Linked DNA regions of Pelodiscus sinensis. The protein of the gene in region 2 purifies or fractionates together with the protein of the main gene of each other region. This does not show direct contact. Links are inferred from orthologs where the notes say so. Each region holds a gene or a part of one and is shown on either strand. Other genes may lie near its edges.

Evidence for each region. The genes of interacting proteins can lie anywhere in the genome.
Region 1: the proteins of CLSTN1 (region 2) and APBA2 purify together in Homo sapiens (affinity purification with western blotting; 3 studies listed by BioGRID and IntAct, with this or other methods). This does not show direct contact. The link is inferred for Pelodiscus sinensis from reciprocal best matches to the Homo sapiens genes CLSTN1 and APBA2.

Annotation. Positions count from the first base shown.
Region 1 is NC_134724.1:44,052,255-44,060,281, forward strand, and holds the start of APBA2 (amyloid-beta A4 precursor protein-binding family A member 2), read left to right. Parts: upstream 1-5,017; 5' UTR 5,018-5,631; intron 5,632-6,274; exon of another isoform or gene 6,275-6,555; intron 6,556-8,027. UniProt on the Homo sapiens protein: Putative function in synaptic vesicle exocytosis by binding to STXBP1, an essential component of the synaptic vesicle exocytotic machinery. May modulate processing of the amyloid-beta precursor protein (APP) and hence formation of APP-beta.
Region 2 is NC_134733.1:12,835,942-12,843,129, reverse strand, and holds the start of CLSTN1 (calsyntenin-1), read right to left. Parts: upstream 3,103-7,188; 5' UTR 2,847-3,102; coding exon 2,756-2,846; intron 1-2,755. UniProt on the Homo sapiens protein: Postsynaptic adhesion molecule that binds to presynaptic neurexins to mediate both excitatory and inhibitory synapse formation.

The sequences.
Region 1 (8,027 bases), on a different chromosome or scaffold from region 2:
CTAGTGCAGGGCAAGAGCAGGGGTCAGTCCTCCACACTCACAGTAGTGGTGAGAGCCGGAGCGATATCTGCTCTGCCGCTGCCCAGCCCCCTAGTAATCTAGCTCATATTGTACAGAGAGGTGTTTTGGGTGGGGGTGCAGCAGGGGTGGGAAGAAGCAGGGCAGGGGCAAGACTTGGGGGAAGGGGTGGAGTGGGGTGGCGATGGAGTGTAGGAGGGACCTGAGGTAGGATGGTTGCCCTGGGCCTTGCAACACCCTAGGGATGGCCCTGCCTGTAGTCATGCATCACTTTAAACCACATGCCTAACAGAACTGGACACATAATGACTACATTGCATAACATCTACCTGATGGGAATGCAAGTCAACTAAATTAAAATGCCTTTTCACTCTCAGTGTCATGAGATATTTATGACTGCCCTGAGATCAGATCCAAGGAGTAGCCAGCAATCTGCAGTTTGTACATACACTAGCTTACCTTCTGTCACAATTGCCTCCTAGCTGTTCCTTTATATTCAAAATAATCAATAACACGGTGGGTGCCCTTAGAAGTATCTAACAATTTCTAATAAAAGGCCTGGTCAACCACAACAATGTTGCTCCCAGGGCACTATATGACACAATGAGCTTTCAAATATTAAATGTATCATCTTATAACTCCTATATTTTGTATGTGGCTTTATATCCTTCCCTACATCTCTTCCACCTTGTGCTAATACTGTCAGTCTATGACCTTACCACAGATTATGCTCCGTTATGTCCATGTTTTCAGCTCTAATGCTCAATCTTTTTTATTCTCTTTTTGGTAGGACCAATCTTATGTTTTGTAGCACCCCAATCAAGAGCAGGTATTTAGAGTGATCACCTATTTTGCACTTTTAATATAGACTCATAGACTTTAAGATCAGAAGGGACCATTATGATCATCTAGTCTGACCCCCTGCACATAGCAGGCCTCAGAATCTCACCCACTCCCGCCTGGAATAATCCTCTCACCTAAATCTCAGATATTGAAGCCTTCAAATAGTTTAAAGACCCCAAGATGCAGAAAATCCTCTAGCTGTGATCTGTGGCCCATGCTACAGAGGAAGGCGAAAAACCTCCAGGGCCTCTGCCAATCTACCCTGGAGGAAAATTCCTTCCCGACCCCAAATATGGCGATCAGCTAAACCCTGAGCATGTGGGCAAGACTCACTAGCCAGACACCCAGGAAAAGTTGTCTATAGTAACTCCTATCATCCCTCAATTGATTATTTACCACTGATAATGAAAGGTCAATTAGTTACCAAGATCATATTACCTCATCAAACCATCCTCTTCATAAACCCATCTAACTTTATCTTGAAGCCAGATAGATCTTTTGCCCCCACTACATCCCTTGAAAGGCTGTTCCAGAACTTCACTCCTCTCATAGTTAGAAACCTTCATCTAATCTCAAGTCTAAACTTCCTACTAGCCAGTTTATGTCCATTTGTTCTTGTGTCCACATTGGTATTAAGCTTAAATAATTCCTCTCCCTCCCTGGTATTTATCCCTCTAATATATGTAAAGAGAGCAATCATGTCCCCACTCAGCCTTCTTTTGGTTAAGGTAAACAAGCCAAGCTCCTTGAGTCTCCTTTCATAAGACAGTTTTTCCATTCCTCAGATCATCCTAGTGGCCCTTCTTTGTACCTGTTCCAGTTTGAATTCATCCTTCTTAAACATGGGAGACCAGAACTGCACACAGTATTCCAAATGGGGTCTCACCAATGCCTTGTATAATGGCACTAACACCTCCTTATCCCTACTGGAAATACCTCGCCTAATGCATTCCAAGACCGTATTAGCCTTTTTCACAGCCATGTCACAATGGCGGCTCATAGTCATCCTATAATCAACGAGGACTCCGACGTCCTTCTCCTCCTCCGTTACTTCCAACTGATGGAACTAAAATTCTTGTTATTAATCCCTAAATGCATAACCTTAACCTTCTCACTATTAAATTTCATCCTATTGCTATCACGCCAATTTACAAGGTCATCCAGATCTTCCTGTATGATATCCCGATCCTTTTCTGAATTGGCAATACCTCCCAACTTTGTGTCATCTGCAAATTTTATCAGGACACTTCCACTTTTGGTGCCAAGGTCAGCAATAAAAAGATTAAATAAAATTGGCCCCAAAACTGATCCCTGAGGAACTCCGCTAGTAACCTTCCTCCAACCTGACAGTTCACATTTCAGTGTGACCCGCTGTATTCTCCCCTTTAACCAGTTGCTTATCCACCTCTCAATTTTCATATTGATCCGCTTCTTTTCCAATTTACCCAATAAGTCCCCATGTGGTACTGTATCAAATGCCTTACTAAAATCAAGGTAGATTAGATCCACTGCATTTCCTTTATCTAAAAAATCCTTTATCTAAAATATCCCTAGCCAGCACTGAATATGGTGATACTAAGAATTAGTTGATGTGAGAAATATGCAAAAAACATACACTGTAATGCAAATGACTCCTAAACTGTGAATAAAGCATTGTGAGGCATGTTGTCTCTTAAAAATAAGCCTTGTTTAGTATATTTCCTTTAAAACATAGGTTGCCCAATTTAGTGGTGCTGCCAGCTACTGCTAATGAAGGAAATGTCAGTTCCCTTCTTGCCCTCCCTTTTCCACTGCTAGAGAAAGGGGCAGTCTATTGGTGGCCCTGGACTATAGTATTCAAACTATGAATTACTGATTGCGTAATACATGTGTTACAAAGGAGGATCCCCAGATGGTGTCTTGTGGAGTTTTTAAGTTCAACATGGCTTTCTAATACAGAGATGTAGACTTTTTAATAGACTCTAGGGATCACTGGATAGGAGTTGAGGGGGATTAATGATTGAACTTCTAATTGAAATGCATAGATCAGTGGTGGGGAAGAGTAGGCAACATTAAAACCTGCCACTTTGAGTGTTGGGTGCTCAGGGTGCCATAGGCACAGATATTACAGCTGTGAAAGTGATGTTGAACAGAGGGAAAAAATCAATTCTGTGCCTTGAATGAACTGAATTTGGCAGCTGGTGGTGGGAGGGAGAAATAGGTGCAGAAAGGCACTTAACATGCTATCTGGACCTAAGTAGGAGCTAGTCTGTTCCCTCACAGAAGCTTGAGAACTCCATAGGTTGCTCTAACTTACTTTGCTGCAACAGCTCATTGGGAGGCAGGGGCGGTTATAGGGCAGGGCGAGTGGGGTGGCCGCCCCGGGCCCCGCGCTTCAAGGAGCCCCGTGTATGTGCCGTGGCAAAGGGGGGCCCCCGCAAAATTGTGCTGCCCTGGGCCCCGCAAAATGGTCATCTGCCCCTGTTGGGAGGAGTTGTAGCAACTGTGAATAGTTGTAGGGTACAGGCACTCTGGTACTATGAGCGTGTCATGCTCCTTATTTGGGCTGTGTAGTTTAGATCTGTTCTTCTGTAACTGTTCATCCTAGCAGGTTACTTTACATGAGGTAATTCTTAAGTAGTTGTATAGGGGTTGCCAATTTTTGAAAAGTGGATACTTCTTCTCCACCCCTTCTTCTGAGGATCTGCCCTCTATTCACTCCTCTCTCCCACCCTGCCCTGTGCCCAGTCTGGGGCCCATTGAACTCTCCCCATCCTCCTGAGGGTTACCTGAGAGGGTGGGGAAGCACGATCCATAAGCCACTCACTCAAGTCTCACAAGTCTGTGGAGGAGCTGGGGGGAACAGAACCCAAGAGTCCAGGATTCCAGCCCCACTTTGCTCTAACCTCTCTTCCCCTCCCAGAGCCAGGGAGAGAACCCAGGAGTCCTGACCCCCAGCTCCTCCATTCTCCACCACCATGGCAAGGCACAGTCTTGAATATGCCCAGGTACTCCCTGGTCATCTGGGCCCTTGAACTGAGAGCAGGGAACTATTCACTTTCACATGGGGAACTTGGCCCATTATTTGTAGCCCCCCTCAAGCTGTGACCTGTTCACCCTGGCTGGATCCAGAAAACTTACATGGAAATATTGCTTCTGGGCTCTCCCTACTTCTTCTGAGGGGTTTCACTATCCTCTGCTCCAGGTTCCTCTGTGTCTGATGGTGAGGAAATATTGGGCTCTTGGACTACCTCAGCTACAGCTGGGGCAGGCTGGCTACAATGTACCAGAGCCTGCCAACTTCTGCCACTCAGAGCAAGCAGGCACCTGAATTCCTAGGGACCAGTCCAGCTCCTAGCTGGGCAATGATCACACTGTGCATGGGTCCAGAATTGGCAGCCGGCCTTCAGGGCAAGTGGCTCTGTGCTGAATCCAGGCCTCTCTGCTGCATCAGAAGTCAAGCAAAGCAGAGCCAAGGGCTGCACTCCAAATGGCTCCTGCCTCGATATCTTCTTAGTAGCTGAAGTGAAGCTCTTTGTTCCCTAGAGGTAGCGGGGGTGCATCCTTCCTTCCAATGGCCTCTCAGTCATGCTTAGAGCTTGACCTCCCCCTTGCCTGCTCTGCTTGTAGCACCACTGCAGCTGCTGCTGAGGCTCTCCCTGGCTGCTGAGCAGCTGCTGGTCTTACCACTCTCTTGATGGGGAGGCTGACTGTGGTTAGTTGTTTTCAGACTTTCAATGTTCAGAGAGCAGTGCTGATCAGACACTGTTCAGGTTCTCTTTTTGATTGGACTTTCCGGTCAAAAACCAGACATAGGGCCATCCTATAGTTGTACTATAAAGCACTAGAGCAGAACCTAGAAGTGGTCCCAAAGAACCAGACATGGACTAAGAATAGTGCTTTACTCTCAAGCTTAGAATAGTCCCTGCTTTGCCAATTGGCGATCTTCTGATTTTTTTAAAATATAAAATGCATGGTATGTCTGATTTGTTTTGAAGCCGGACAAAGAAAACTTATTGGCAGATGAAGTGAAGCTCTCAGACTTTACCACTTGTAGGCAGGTGTGACCTGGGGGGGGGGGGGGGGAGTGTGGGATTAGAGCTCATCCAAAATGTCTTGAATAATGTATCAAAATTCTTGGTATTTTAAAGCAAATTATCCAGTTGATTCTTCCACCCATTTTCGAGTTCTTTGTCTACCATACAAAGCAAATATCTCTTCAGCATATCCACATGCCACGGATTGTACCTGTAGCATCTCAAGTTAAATATTTGGAAGGGTCTTTTGTTTTGCCCAGCTACAGATGGGGTATCTTTGTAGCAGAGGCGACTCTGTACCACCCCCCAGGACCAAACACCCCCCCACTTTATCGCGAAGGGGACGGAAGGGCAACACACGGAATTTCGACCCAGCTCTCCTCCCCAGTTAGGCAGAGAAAACCCGGGCAAGGTTCTTAGGAAAGTCCTGTCTGCCTCGTTCTTTATCCGCTGCCGGGACTAGGGGGAGGGCGATCGTGTTAATGAGCGGGGCTGGGTGCGGGGGCCGCGTCGCTCGTGCTGAAGCCCAGCCCCAAGGCGGGGGGTCTCGGACGCCTGCACGGTTTGGTTCTGCGCCATGCAGCGTGCGGGGCAGTGCGGGAGGGGGCGGTGTCTGCTGCTACTCAGCTTGCCGGGCTCATTAGCAGTCTCCGTGTGTGGCTCGGCTCCGGAGCAGTCACACAAAAGAGCCGGTGCGGCCGCTCCCCTTGGGGCTGCGAGGAGCAGGAGCGGAGGCGGCGCAGTCCCGGTCCAGGTCAGTGGATGTGGGGGGGGGGGGGGTAACACGCTGGCGCTTTGCTCCCAGAGAGGGGGCAGGAGAGGAAGGGGGGGGCTGCTGCAGACCCCTCCCCGCCGGGAGCTCCCTCCGGAGCGGGCTGGATGCTGCAGGGCTGGCAGGGAACGCGGTGCACGAGCCCCGGGGTGCTGTGCGGTGTGTGCGGAGGGAGGAGGTCGGATGCCGCATGCAAGGGCCGCTCTCCCGACCCAGCGCCTTGCAGTGTCGTGTGGGGGGAGGGGATCCGATGCTGCATGCGCGTCCCCCGCTCCTCCTACCCCGAGCTCCTTGCGTGCCAGGGCTGGTCCCCTTCCCCCGCACGAACACCGCAGGTCCCGCTCCCTGAGCCTGGGCTCTTTGCGGTGGGTGTGGGGAGCAGAGACTGCACGCACATCTCATGCCCCTACCCTAGCTCCTTGCAGTGCGTTGGGCGGGGGCAGAGGAGGAGCAGATGCTGTATGCAAATGTGACTCCCCGGCCCCGAGCTCCTTGTCCTGGTGGGATGCTGGTCACAGGATATTGCATGCGGCTTCTCCCCCCAACCAACTGACCAACCGGATTGTAGCTCCAGCTAGTGGGGGGAAATTAAGCTCATTGAAAGGGGGTCCGTGGGGGTGGAGAGGAACCTTTGGGTTCCTTGTGGAGTGAGGATTTTGCTGCCATCAAATCTCATCCCCATCCTCTTGCGGGGGAGGAAATCAACGTTGCCATCACAGCACAGAAAAGCCAGTTTGGAAAGAGACTCCAGCAAGAAGAGTGCAGTGTTACTAATATGGGAGAGTTTATTGTTTAATGTGTAGCAGCTGATGAGAGGGTCGATCTGCTCTTGCGGTCTAGGGAGGCGGCCGATGGTATTTATGTGGCTGGGTCTGGTGCAGGGATGGAGAAGATGTTCTCTGCCTGGTACAGAAGAGCTTTTCTTTCTTTCTATTGTGGTAACCGTGGTGGTGGGGAAGCTTTAATGCAGCTGCCTCGTTTCAGTTAGATGAGCACTGGAAATGGAAAGTGTTTCTAACCGGAAAGTTGCTGCTGCTAGGATCATCCTTTTCTCTGATTGCAGTCTTTGCTGTATTCATTTTTTTAAATTGTGTGCTTCCATCCCTCTCCTAGTAATTTATATGTACATTATTTTAGAATGTAACTTTCACAGTTTTGGCATTACTTCATCTAGAATGGGGTTATTTGTACATATAATATTGATATAGTGTGTGTATATTTAATTGTTTATACCTAGCTTTTGAAGTGTGTGTCTGTATATCTGTCTTTATTCACACATTGCTCATCTACAGTGCTGGAGAATTCAGAGTTCATTTTAAGAGTCCAAAACACAAAAGAAAAGCCCTCATGTAATGCACTGCTGCTTAGAATTTGTATTTGTTTCTGACTTATCAAGCCTCCAGTGTAGGGACTAAATTAGAGCTTTTGATCAACTTTTTCCCCCCCCCCCCCCCTTCTCCTTTATAATGAGGTCTGGAGGGAAAAGTTACTTAATTATAAATTCTCCACTTCATTTTTCTTGGAGTAAACAGTGTGACAAATTATAACATGGATTCCCCCCCCCCCACACACACACATTTTCTGCTATCTTCACAATGACTAGATGATGGAGTTTTTTGTATTTCTGACATGAAAGAAGGGGTTCTGCATGTGTAAAACTGAATGCTCAATAGGGAAGAATTGGTATGCTTTGCCTTAACTGGCAAGTACTTCTTGATTTATTAAGTTACTTTGCTCAATGCCCTTCTGTTTGTGGTTGTATATGATAGTGCTTGGGGTGTGTTATAGACCACCAGGATCCAATTTGGATATGGATAGAGACCTCTTTAATGTTTTTAATGAAGTAAATACTCATGGCAACTGCATAATCATGGGAGAGTTCAACTTTCCAGATATAGACTGGAGAACAAGTGCTAGTAATAATAATAGGGCTCAGATTTTCCTAGATGTGATAGCTGATGAATTCCTTCATCAAGTAGTTGCTGAACCAACAAGGAGGGATGCTATTTTAGATTTGGTTTTGGTGAGTAGCGAGGACCTCATAGATGAAATGGTAATAGGGGACAACCGAGGCTCGAGTGATCATGAGCTAATTTAGTTCAAATTAAATGGAAGGATAAACAAAAATAAATCTGAGACTAGGGTTTTTTATTTCAAAAGGGATAACTTTAATTAAGGAAATTAGTTAGGGAAGTTGATTGGACTAAAGAAATTATGGATCTTGAGGTGGAGGAGACCTGGGATTATTTTAAGTTAAAGTTGCAGAAGCTGTCAGAAGCCTGTATCCCAAGAAAAGAGAAAACATTTATAGGCAGGTGTGTTAGACCAAGCTGGATGAGCAAGCATCTCAGAGAGGAGATTAAGAAAAAGCAGAAAGC
Region 2 (7,188 bases):
GAAATTGTAGATTTAATACTAGCTGATTACAATTAAACTAGTATTTACGTACAACTTTCTACAGAAGTCTCAGAATTACATAAAAACATAAAAACAGGCAAGTAGAAAATTAAGTTTCTGCTGCCATCTTTTCTAAGAAAAAGAACAAAGGCAAGAGTGTATTCGAATCTTCATTCTAATATTGATATCTCAGCAAGGTAACCAAGTATTCATGTTCCACAGATACACAGTATTAAAATGAAATTACAAGATGATTTAATAAATATTAGATAAAATATTGTTACATTTTGGTCTTTAGATTAGTAATAACTTGTCAGAGTACCTAAAAAGAGCTTGTGCGCTTCATAGACAGAAGCCTTTCAATTGCTTATGAAGTCCGGATGCTATTACAAACTAGTGGATGCTAGGAAAAGAAAATGCAGTCCACAAATACCACCATCAGATCAATTAAATAATCTTACAGAAACTGCCCTTTTTAATATATAGGTTCACATTCTGGTAAAGAACAGTCTGCAATACTATAATGAAATCTGTTCAAAAACAGATCTGCAATGCGTATGCTTTTCAGTTTGCAACATCAATCAATATCCAACACTGAAAAGGGTATATGGCAAAAGATGCAATAAAATTGTATTTGCTTTAGGAACAGGACAATGTTCTCTATTAAAAAAAACATGTCATTGGGAGAGGCTCGTTGAGGTGTTAGATTTCCCATTTCTATTCCCAGTTAATGATCAAAGCTCTTCCACTAACCGAAATACCACCATAGTTTTAAAAGCTGTGCACACACACAACTACCCTGCCTTTCAAGAACCAGCTGAGAGACTGTTTACAATATGCAGCCAGTCTAGGGCTGCATGGATAGTCTTACCACATTTCATGAGTTCGGACTATGTTTGATACAAGTTACGACCTCTACACCTCTATTAATTTAAAACCAAACTGAGCTTAAAGAAAAGAAGAAAATATTCACAATGTAAAATCCAAGAGTTTTTGGAGGAACAATTATGTAACATCCACACACTCCTTGTTACAGACCCTAATCAAGGTAACCACAAAACCACAAAACCAAAACAGAGGCAGAACGATTATGGTTCATGCATTCTTCTTCTCACTCACATGGGGCAGGCAAAATATGGCTCATCTGACCTGCAGCCTGCCCTCTCAGGCATAGAGCCTGCCTGAAGGTCCAGCTAGTCAGGAGCCACCAAGTAAGTGCCTCTAGGCCAGAGACTACACCTGACACCCCACCTTCTCCTACACTCCAACTCCCTACCCCAGGTCACCATCCCTTCCCTCTGCACCCTTCTCTCCCAGGTGACAACTCTCTCCCAGACCCTGCACTCCTCTCACACTGCTCCCCCAAGACAGAATCCTTTCCTGCACCCCGCACCTCCTTCCTAATTCCCTATCCCAGGTGACAACTTCCTCCTTCACCCAAACTTCCTCTCAAACTCCACACCCTCTCCTGTACCCCAATCCATAACCCCAAGCTCCCTTCTGCACCCAACTTCCATCTAAGACCTCACATCCCCTCCATTGAAAAACGCAGCCCTTGATCACTTACCAAAATCTCAGGGTGCCCCCTTCATAAAAAAGTAGACACTGCACTGATATATATCTTGATGTCATTAGCAAAGCCAATGCCTTCCCACCCTCTCCCAGAAACCCAGGAAACAGAGTCCCAAGCAGGCATTAGCTCAAGCTGCATCTGCCAGGAGGAGGAAGAGAACAACCTAACTTGAGGTGGGCAAGTCTTCCTTACCAGGAATAACCCACCACTACCGCCTATCATCACACCTCAGCATTAAAGAGAAGTGTGGGTAGCAATTCCCCTCCCTAGTCTGTAGGGCTTCAACTTTGCTACCCCCCAACGAACACACATGATAAATCATCCCCAGATCTGGCTGTTGGGAAGTCTCCTTCACTGGGACAACTCTCTCCTCCTTCTTCCATCATCTATGATTGTGATGTTTGCCACACTATGTATGGGGATAACTCCCCACCCCCTAAGGCAGCACCACTGAGGAGAGGGACTAACCCCCTCCTATCCCTAGCACTCTGGAGAGGGGTATCATCCTGCTGTGCCCAAAGGATGGAGGAAGCCAAAGACATTGCCTCCGCCCACAACTCAGCCCCCTCATAGGAGGAGATTTTGCTCAATGTAAAGGGATTAATTCCCATATGAAATAAGTGAAGGTTAAATTCCACCAGGAGAGGGATAAAGGAGATATTACATGGGGAAACCAGGTTCCTCCATCAGCGAGAGGAACACAGGGGTTCAAATCCCAAACAGAGGTAGGTAAACTGGGTGCCACAAGGAGAATGCACTTAGACCCCCACCAAAGAAGGGAACAGAGGGTTAAATTCCATAGCGATTATAGCTAGGATGTAGGAGATGTTACAGGGAATGGAGTAACCCCCACCCCCACCACGAAGGGGAACGGGGTTAAGCCTCCCAGAAGGGAGAGATGGGGTGCCCTAGGGTTACATCGTTAGATGGGGGATGGAGCTAGACATCCCTGAAGAAGAACGGGTGCGGACTAGCCCCCGCAGAAGGCGGGTGGGGTGTCCCAGGGAAGGGGTGGAGGACAAGCCCCCGCAGAAGGCGGACAGGGTGACCCGGGGAAGGGGGTGGTGTCCCGGGGAATTGGGGGGACAAGCCCCCGCAGAGGGCACGCAGTCTCCAGGGAGGAGGTCACTGCAGCAAGCTCCCCCCCCCCCCCCCCGCCGCACGGCTCCAAGGCTCACTCACCTCTAGCAGCCCAGAGCCCCCCGCAGAGCAGCCCAGCGGTCAGGAGCCAGGCGGGGGCTAGGCGGGGGCAGAGCATCCCGGGGCGCAGCATCGCGCGCGCTCTGCCCGCTCAGAGTGGCAGGGGGGATGGACCCCTAAGAGACAGAGGAGGGGGCCCCCCAGCGGGCCTGGTTGCGTCCCGCGCTGCGGGGCGGAGGGTTAGGGGCGCTGCGAAGGCTCCGCTCCCCTCCTCAGAGCGCAGCGCTCTGCCAGCGGCAGCTAGGATCAAGATGGCGGCTGATGCCTGGGCTCATTCTCTCCCGCACCGGTTACCAGGCGGGGGAGGGGGGCCCAGGGAGAAACCAACTCTAAGGGAGGGATTCGGGAGATGAGGAATGGGAGAAACCATCTTATCCCTCTGGCGGAGGGGAACAAACCATTTGGAGTGGGGAGGGGGGGGCAAAAGGAGAGGAGACCACACCTTATCTCTGGGGGCTAGAGGGCAGAACCATTTATGGGAGGGGAGCACCTTATTTCTTGGTGTGGATTCGAGGGAGGAGAGAAACCAAACCTGTAGAGGGGGGTATCAAGGGAGGGGATAACCCACCCCTCCATTGGGTGGCTGGGGGTGGAGGGAAGGAAAATACCATCTGGGGCAATAGAGAGATGGGAGAAGCCATCGCCTCTCTGTGGGGAGAAGGTGGTTTTCACTCTTCTACCTGGAAGGAACCAAGAGTGTCCTTCTCAGGTGTCCTATCACAGCCTCTGAGCCCCTCTGCAGAGTCCAGGGCTGGAGCGTGGGGAGGGCTCCTTTCCTTTGGCAAGGGAGGGGCAGGGGGCAGGAGGCCGGTGCTCATGTGCCAGCCCTTTTGCATGGGTATGAAGCATCACCCACTGCAATCACACCGGATTTGCTCTGTGTAGGTAGGAGCGGAGGCGGGAGGGAGGGAGAGTCAGAGGCACCATCCATTTTGTCCTGCCCTGCAGGCTCTACTGCTGCAAAGGGGCAGAAGGTAGAGGAGGATGCTCAGCCCCGTTGTGCACCGTGGTAAGCACCACCGAGTGGGCGCCACCCCGATCAAAATAACTAACAATGCGGGGCGTGCTCGCGTGGTCTGTGTTGGCTGGAGCGGAAGGCAGCGCTCCATGCCGGTGCGTGATTCAGTTTGCACTGCAATGCAGACGTCTTGGGATGCGGGGAGGGAAGGCAAGAAAGGCTCAGTGCCTTTCGCGTCGCAGTCAACTTCACACTCCACGGCAAACTCGCGTGCTTTCCCCTGGATGGAGGAGGAGTTAAAACGGTGGCCCCTGTTAATTATTTATTTGTGGGCACGTGGAGTGGGCGGATGGTGGGGATGTGAAATGCTGTCTCACCCGCGATGCTTTTTTCCTTTCTGCGTTGTATTAAAATTCACAAACTGCAATGCAGTGTAATCCACCCAGGAACCAAACCCCTTTAGTGTTTACTCGGCCAAAAATCCGATACCAAGGACATTTTGCCTGGGTAAGAACTGTTGGAAGATCACAGGATTTACCTAAGAGACACTTTGCGGTGTAATTGCCCTGAGGCAACAATTATTTTAGGAGGCTAGATTTCCCTTCAAAGTATGTAGGATTGTTGTCTTCTTTCTGTTGTTGTGTACTTAATTTCCACTGTTGTGGTAGTTTTTCCTGATTTTCCCCAAATAATCATTCATTGTTTACCTTACTGCAGTTGAAATGAACTGTTTTACAAGATTGCTCTGTATCTGGCGAATACAAAAATAATGTTTTAGGATCTGAAGTTATTTTACGAACATTAACTAATTAAACTTCATTACTCCGTAGTGGGACACTATCAAGTCATTTAAAAAAATACTTTTAAAATAGTCCATTTCCTGATACATCAACTTTTAAATAGTATATCTTAACCTTCTAAACATCCCTTTACATTTTTATAAGGGATTTGCCTGCTCCTGTGTTAATGTTTACAGAGATGTTTCCAGCAAGGCAAGATCTGGCTCACCCTTCGCCCCTCGCCCCCCACTACAAGTCCTGCAATAGGGGAGTTTTGCCCATTGACTTCAGGAGGAACAGAATCAAGCCCTAAAACCCAGATTCTGCAAGACATATGTAGAGGTCCACTCACACATGTCACACTATAGCTGGGAGTCTTTCGGGAAAATGGTAAAAGACACCTGTATAAAGTACTGTCAAATGCACAAAGTGGAAAAAACAGAAAAATATGGTGAAGTATTTTGGGGGGGGAGTGTTTTTTGGAGAAGGTTAATCTAAGTCACAATAGTGTACACTTATCTAAATGCTTGATATTAAGTACATACATAAGTATGTAGGATCCCAGCTATAGGTGATTTCTGAGTTAGTGTTCCTTTAAGAATTATTAGCCCCATTTTACAGATGGGGAAACTGAAAGTACAAAATACCTTTCTCATAACTGAACAGTATAAACTTTTCTGCATAAAGTAGCTAAACTGTTTTTGAAGTACCTAAAATATGCAGACGTGCTGATTAGTGACATGCATTTTATGTACATGGATTTGTTTTTTTAAATTAGGATACAGGGTTATTAGTTCTATCTGCGAAAACATGTAGGTGCCCCACATAGAAGATTGCATATGAATAATTTAGGGGTATAGTACTTGTATAGCTGTAGAAGGGTGATTGTCTCAGCTTCCTTTGTTATTGCTCTTTGATCAAAAAATTCTATCAGAGAGCCAGATCCAAAAAGGAAAATCTTACCTTCCCAGATTTATGGAGCTTCATAAAAGACAAAGTGAGACAGACTGATTTTATCATTACAGAAATAGCTGGTTTGCATTTATTAGCAATTTCACTTCCACAGTGAAATAAAAATAAAACACAGACTGTTTTGACACCCCTGATATGGTTTTTGTTTCCATCTTTTTTCATATTTAAACTCATCATGTGACTTTAGTGCTGGTATCACAGACAGCTCTGTTTATCTATAGAACAGGCAGTCCCAGTAACAGCTCCTCCCAGGTTGTCCCATCAATGTAGTAGTAAAACAAATTCAAGATGTAGGGGGGGCCAACCAACCTTCCAGAGGCAAGAGGATAATTTATTTCCGACACCTGTCAGTCCTTGATCTCTCTTCTAAAAGACAATTAGTGACAATTATGATGTGTTTTGTCTAATGGACACTTCATCATTGAGAACTGGATAAAGACAACCAAACACTTTTCATGTAGGCCACCAAAAAAACCATTAAGAAGCGACTTTCACTCTCTAGCATCCTGGGTTGGATTTAAATCAGAACCTGAAGGTAAAGATTAGCACCAATCCCCTAAATTATCCAGCCCACTCCAGGATGCTTTTTGTAGTTTGGTAGCTACACATTCTATGATGAAAATATGACTGCTTTCTCAGTATAGAGCCAAAATCTTGTGAGCATATATCCCACTACATGACAGAGAAAAGTAGTGAAAGAAGAAACTGAATGTCCCACAGCATTAAAAGGAGCTTGGAAAGTCTAGTGCTTGGTGCAGGATGCTCTGAGCCAGAATTCTTGGGTTCTATTCCTAGAAGGGCCAAACATTTTCTATGTGGGTTTTTTTTAAGCAAGTTACTTAATCTTTCTGTGCCTCAGTTGACCAATCGGTAAAATAGTAATAATATCTTCCTTACAGGGATACTTTGAAACTTGGGTTTGTAAAATAGTGTGTAAATCTCACATTGAAGGTGCTATCATATCCACAGTATTATTAAAACAGACTGACTCATTAGAAGATGACAGAGAGCATTATAGAATGGGGCATGATCCAGAGAGGTGTGGAGTATCCACAACTTCCCTTAACTCAAGTGGGAGTTGTGGGTGTTGAGCATCTCTTGGGCTCAGTCACAGGGCATGTCTGGATAGGCTCGTTTTCTTTACACAGTTCTTTATAGATGCATCATTTCCTCTGCAAACTGATGCTCAAGGAAAATGAAACCCTTCGGGGATCTTTCTCAGTGAGGCTCCATCCTCAGGGAACAGCTTCTGCTACTCAGATTGCTCTTTGAATTTCCAAGGTGCCATTCGGCAGCTGGAGAAATGCCATATCGTGGATTGTTCAAAGAGTTTTATTAGAGCTTAATATGATCTCAAGGATGTGCCAAGTTTGTCATTACCTGACAATACAATTTTGTTAGTTTCTAACAAAGTAGCAGGGCTTTGACCGCTTGTATAAATACACTTGTAATGTTATTACTTCCTTTGTGGGGAGCAAGAGGGTGGATTTTTATTATTTTATTTTTAGGTATAAGCAGCATAAATACCAATGTCTGACTTGCCAATCCAAAAGCTTCAGGGGGTAGCTGAGTTAGTCTTTACAGGATAAATTTAAAAAACAACAAATAGTCTATTAACACCTTCAAGACTAACAAAACATATAGATATCATAAGCTTTCGTGGGCACAGCCCACTTGCCAATCCAAGACTGTTGGTACAATGACAT